2 linked regions of the Drosophila melanogaster genome follow. The protein of the gene in region 2 binds, or shares a complex with, the protein of the main gene of each other region. Each region holds a gene or a part of one and is shown on either strand. Other genes may lie near its edges.

Region 1 (3,179 bases), 1.1 Mb from region 2:
AGTACAAAGCCGCGCAGGAAGCAGCTCGGGTCGCGCATCTGGCCATCTGGAAGTACGGTGACATAACGCAAGATGATGCGCCCGAGTTCCGCTAAAAGATGCCCGGAAACGTGGAGTAGGCCTGTGGCGTGGAGCGCGTTGCTAGCCGAAAAGATTGTCTGCCACATACCCGCCCTTTATATACATAACAACAAGCAAGAACTTAAAGAATATGAAATTACTAATTCTATCTATACACCAATATATATGATACATATACCACATTGGAAATACACAAATACATACATATGAGCAATGGCATGGAAGAACACGGTACACTTTTTGTATGCTTTAAGCAGCTGGCAAATTATTATTTGGTCTTCTAGTTTTCCTATCATGATACTTTAAATAAATATTTGACACAACCTAGCAACAATTGGAACGTTTTTAAAATGCGTACAATAACCAAAATAAGTGCACCCTCTGATTGTGTAGTGTTCCAAGTTGTAAACCTCAACATTCATCTTTAAAATTTGCAGATTTTATGTTTTTGTAAAGTGTTTTGCATTACTGAGTAAATACAATTAAATAATTTTTTAAAAACGAAAGCAATTCACTTCTTTAGCGCTGCTCCAGCGAATCTACCTTCTCGATGACACTTTCAATGCTAAAATCCTTTGGGATCTTAAGGGTTTTTTGCCGGTCCAGTAAGGCCTGTTTTGTTGCAAGCTGTTGGGCGTTTCGCTGCATTACGACGATATCCGGGATGAGCCGCTCTTCCGCAGCAGCATTAAATCTGCAGAAGAATGGTTTTGGTCAGGGATTCAACTATTAAAGGGATTTGTTCACCAATACCTCTCCAACATAACTACGTCCCTAGTCGCCTCCTCGATGGACGAGAGGATGCGCTGCAGCTCTACGCGTTGCTGCACTGTGGTCTGCCGGTTTTCTATGCATTCCCTCTTCTTGGCACAATAGAAGTCGCGCAAGTAGTTCAGATTGATGTCGTGAATGTGCAAAAGTGAATAATATTGGGCGCATTTGTCAAGGAGCGCCAGGTCATCGTCCGAGAAATCGCCCAACTCGACGCTAGCCAGCTTTAACTGGTCATCGAAGTGCTGGCCTAGACGCATCAATGAATTGACTTCCTCTTGGATCTTCAAGTTCTCTGCATCATAAGAATAATTAGTTGTATGCCTAGCGTTTTTTTTAAATAAACTCACGCATTTTTACTGGAGATGACAAGCTATCGATGGTTCCGAAAAAGATACTACCGCTTTGCTCAAAACGCAGGCGTATAGGCAGCCGGCTTAGAAACAATTTAGACTAAGTTGGCAGGACTTTGCTTTTCTTCGCCACTAATCGTATCCAGGTTTCGCATGTCTTTGTCTTCGTAATCCGAATGTGATAATAGGCGCCTTAGGTGCAGATATCGATAGTCTCTACAGTATTTCAGGGCTACCTAGCAAAATGCCACCAATTGCTTTTGTTGAATCGAATTTTAAGAGACAAGCGATTAAAGTAATAAATAATAGAGCTTTTTAATTGTAATGGTTCTATGCCTAATATCATTAAAAATAACACTTAAATTCGTGGTTCGATTACTTGGGCAGTGTGACCGCATCTCGAAAATTGAAAAAGGCCGTTGTCCCAAGAGTATGAAGAAATAGTTATCAATTTTTCGCTAGTTCATAAAATCGATTTGTACTGCTATTTTTCTTTGTTTACTTTCATTGTGCAAATTCGTAAAAGACATTCGTAATATCGTGTTTTCTAACTAACCCAAAGTACTGGTGCTGCGCAAGTACGGATGTATTTATTTGCGTCGGCAAAATGTGAAATAGAATAAATGGCAAATCGATCGATTTTTGACAACGAAGTGGGAAAGTAGCGGTGTCTGGGTGTGTTTGTGTACTGCGACCAGCCAAAGTTTAGACGAATCCTCCAAGGAAGAGGATAGAACAAAACCCTAAAGCCACACTTTTCATCTGCCATGGAGCACACTGCCTCGCTGCCTGGCTACGTCCGCGAGAAGCTCGCCGAACTGGACTTAGAGCTGTCGGAAGGTATACCTATTTGAATAATACACACAAAAATAAAATATTGTTGTTAAAGTGCGGCGACTGAGTTGTAGAAAATCGCGTGAAAACTGTGGCAGACGTAGTCTGGTCTGATTCAAATCATTGGATACTTGTCGCCCCCAAATGGGATTACAAGTGCTGTTCTCGGCTTTTCTTTCGCTGAAAGCTGCCCACATATAGTCGGGGACCGACCAATTAAAAGAAAAGTGTGTGTGTTGTGTTGTGTGGCTTTCAGCATGAATACATGATTCAGTCGCTACTCCACGCTTTTCAAAAAACGACGAGGCCCAGCGGACATATTAATCGTTAAGAAAACAATTCCATCTGCTTTTCTAGGTGACATTACGCAGAAAGGCTACGAAAAGAAAAGGGCGAAGCTGTTGCAGCCGTTCCTAAAGAAGCCAGAAGGTATGTTCGAAAACATTGATATTTGGTCGTTTGGTCGTCACCAGAAAGTTCTTGATCCTTTTGTTGTGAACAGGCGATAAAGTGAAAAGTACGCCGCCACCGCCATACTACAACGTTAAAAATGCCAACAACAGCACCAACCACGGAAACATCAATAACGACGGCGTCATTGTGTCCAGCGAGGGCTACAGTTATGTGACTGAAGTGCCCTCCCTGTCCTCCTCGCAGCAAAGACATTCCAAAAAAATTGACTTCCATCAGCAAGCCGCCATGAGCTTGTCATCGGCACCACAGAGCGGAAATGCTGGGGCTCCTGGCTACGAAAATATGCGACCGCAGGGTGGAGCAGTCGGCGATCCCGGGTATCAGAACACTCGCGAACCAAGTGCTTTTCAGAACCAACAGTCAACTAATAATAGTCAGCATCGTCAACGACGCACACAGCGCAAAGTAACGCACAATGAGAAACGTTATCATTCTGGTTAGTAGAACAAGTTACAGCAACAACATTTTATCTCTGATCATCTGACCCCTAGAAGTACGACAAGAGGCTGTGCAACAGGCCCTTGCAGCTCTTAAGGGACGGCCAAAACCCAGCCTTCCAATGCCATCGAAGCGCACATCTGTATTAAACCGAAGCCCTGGGTGCAATGATGAGCTGGACTCATCGACGGATGACGAATCCATACCCGAGGAGACAATTTCCCCCGA
Region 2 (2,967 bases):
CAAGAAGCGGGAGCTACAACGTACCAACTCAACGCTCCTGCGAGGAGCAGACGAGTCGGTGGCCATGGGCATCAACACATCCAACGTTTCGCTGAGTCTGACGCGTCTGGAGGAGCAGCGCAGTGCCGTGGACGTGTACAATGATTTTAAGGGTTTCCAGCGAAAGCTGGCCAAGATCTACGACGAGGCAGCCGCTCTGGACACCACAGAATCCATATACAAGCAGAAGCTGACGCAGCTCCATGGATTTGCGCAGCAGCTGGAAAAGCTCATGCCAACCGGCGGTGAGTCTCCGCCAGATGCTTTTACATCCGAGCAGCAGGAGAAGCTTCTGACCATAGCCGCCAATATGGAACAGCTCAACTACCTGCGCTCCAACAGCCTCCAGCTGCCCAATCCCAATGAGATACTCGCCACCGGGAGTCTTGCCGCTCGCCTGGAGATGTTCGTAGAGGTGCTTACCTATACGCTTCTCCAAGTCAGCAGCTACAATATGGCCATGATTTGAAAACCTCGCTTAAAGAGCTTTAAATACAAATCAAATGTTTAATTTATTTAAATTATTTTTCAACTATAACATAATAATAAATTCTAAAAATGGATGAGCTAGGGGGAATCCTCGCTGGCATACTGCTCTTCCTGTGAGTTCTTCATCTGGCCCACGGTGTCGTAGAGCGCCACCAGCTTACGCACGGAGCTGCCAAGGTGCTCCACGCGATGCCTGTAGGCCAGGCAGCCCTCCAGAGCGCTGTATGTCTCCTCCCGCTGGTCACTGCTAGACATGAGCAGCTTGAAGTTCTCCAGGATCTTGGACAGGGTCATCTCAGCCTCCGGCCTGAGGTTGTACATCTTCTGGGTCTCCGACAAAGCCACATTCTGACTGAATGCCTTGCTGTTGGACTCGATGTGGAGCAATGTGTTGTTCGACCGCTCCATTATCTCGTCTATCTTAGCCAGCTGGCGGTTCATGGTCTGCCGATTGGCCGCTGAAATTGGAAGCACGGAATAGAACGCGTGTCGGTGGTTTAAAGATATATTTACCCATTCCCGCCAACATTTTGTCCACAGCGTCTGACATTTCGAATATTCTGTTTGTAATGCTAGCAGATTAACGTGACCGTCGCTGCGTATCTAAAATACACAAGGCTTTCTAAAACAATCGAAAGACCAACGTTTCTATCGAAATTTAAATTTAACCGCCAGTACTAAATGACTCGTTTATTTATTTGGATAGTTAATTTATTAGCTGCTATTCCGCAGTTAATTATAGCCCTCGTGTACAATTGCTGACTACAAGTTAATTTAACGTTTGGTTTATTCAGTTGATCAAATTGTATTTGACTTGTTTTCTATTTAAATTTAAGTGTAATCCGTTCAATGGCTTGCATTACAATTACAATTTACTCGTACACATCCTCCTTGTCGGCGACGTACTTAATAATGTCGGCAGGTTTAAGCAGCTTCTCGGCATCAGAGTCGGGGATCTCGAAACCGAACTCGTCCTCCATGGCCATGATGACCTCCACGTGGTCCAAGGAATCCAGTCCCAAGTCGTTGATGAAGTGCGACTCAACGTTGAGCTGTAAATGCGAGCCATTAGCATTGGGTATTCAAAGGTTTCATCAGCTTTGTTCAGTTCTGATTTCTGAGGCGACCATTGCACTGGCAAAGGCAATATGTGGCGTTTACCTTGCTGGGATCGATCTTGTCGTAGAGCTTGAGCACAAGCAAGACGCGCTCATTGATCAGCTTCAGCGAGAGCGGCGGTTTCGCCGAGTATCTGCGCACCAATTGCGTTTGCCAGCGACCACGGCACTCCTGGTTTTTGGCCGGCCCGAGAAAAAAAGGAAGGAAACAAAGACCGGATTAGTGGCGCCATGCAATGGGTACTTTACCTTTTCGGCGGTCACTTTGTCGTAGGCGGAGACAACCTTTAGCACGCGGAACTTGATGTCCTCGATGGTGCTCTTGGCCGAGTAGCTGCGCACACCGAACTTCTGCGAATGTTAATGTCTAGTGAATTTTCGTCTCTATATGAATAATTGCATTGGTAGTTCATCTACGACTTATGGTGCATACAACTTAGCTAATTCTTCAATGAGCAGTGTAAATATATACGCAATTTAAACGAGGGTGGTTCGATGGTGTATGATCAACTGATTAAATACCGCGAAAACTATTGCTTGGATTGGCGTGGAAACATATTTAGATATTTAACAAACTGAAATCACATGTTTTAAAACCGCTACATTTTAAGGTCACTTCTAGAGGATTTTCACTGTAGTACAATCAACCGCACACAAGTGCGAGCACCGGTGTTGCAGGTGTATGTGTGTGTGTGTGCGATAGGGAAACAATCATGTTTTATGCAAAATAATGTGATGCAATCGAATTGGGTGGTTCGACGGCCACATGGCGAGGATCTTCTGTTGCGTTCATGATTGCAAGCACTTAATTGAATGTTTTGAAACTCGTAGATCACGAAACCCCGCCGTTTGCGATGAGGTTAGGTCCTCAACTGCGATTGGGGCTCCTGCAACGGAAGGGACCGCTTTGGACGTTCGCTTACTTGGCTCAACTGGCTGGTCATCGATGGCACGGCGATCCTGTGCATCATCCTGGAGGCCTGTGATTGGATGAGAATGCCGGAGGCGACCCTCCTTGGGGCCAAAGTGGCCGCCAGTCGACTGCAGCTGCGCGCGATCTGTGTGAACGACATCTCGGTTCTCCTGCAACGGAAACGCAGCGGGTTAGTATCGCATCTCTGCAGACGGTGCACGAGTGCAGGTCTCGTATTTTGGGCGATATTTACGCTGAGTTTTCAAGATTATGTAAAAGTGCTGGAGCAAGAAAAAGACAGCAAGGTAGCAGTGTGACCGTATGCGCAATGTACTAAGCTGTTTCTCAACTTACGCAAATAAATACTAAAAATACTTAATACTTGAATAATGAGTAAGTAACTTTCCC

What was found. The genes of interacting proteins can lie anywhere in the genome.
Region 1: msd1 (region 2) and wac share a complex: the UniProt entries of both Drosophila melanogaster proteins name them as parts of the augmin complex.

Annotation. Positions count from the first base shown.
Region 1 is NT_037436.4:256,419-259,597, reverse strand, and holds wac (wee augmin), read right to left. Parts: upstream 1,423-3,179; 5' UTR 1,207-1,422; coding exon 1,203-1,206; intron 1,193-1,202; exon of another isoform or gene 1,148-1,192; coding exon 835-1,147; intron 776-834; coding exon 601-775; 3' UTR 501-600; downstream 1-500. Other genes in the region: Tudor-SN (tudor staphylococcal nuclease), read left to right, coding at 1-95; DIP2 (DISCO interacting protein 2), read left to right, coding at 1,973-2,045, 2,397-2,468, 2,542-2,949, 3,005-3,179. UniProt on the Drosophila melanogaster protein: As part of the augmin complex, plays a role in centrosome-independent generation of spindle microtubules.
Region 2 is NT_037436.4:1,329,893-1,332,859, reverse strand, and holds msd1 (mitotic spindle density 1), read right to left. Parts: upstream 1,117-2,967; 5' UTR 1,079-1,116; coding exon 1,042-1,078; intron 987-1,041; coding exon 607-986; 3' UTR 534-606; downstream 1-533. Other genes in the region: msd5 (mitotic spindle density 5), read left to right, coding at 1-508; ND-ACP (NADH dehydrogenase (ubiquinone) acyl carrier protein), read right to left, coding at 1,401-1,580, 1,690-1,818, 1,911-1,997, 2,570-2,719. UniProt on the Drosophila melanogaster protein: As part of the augmin complex, plays a role in centrosome-independent generation of spindle microtubules.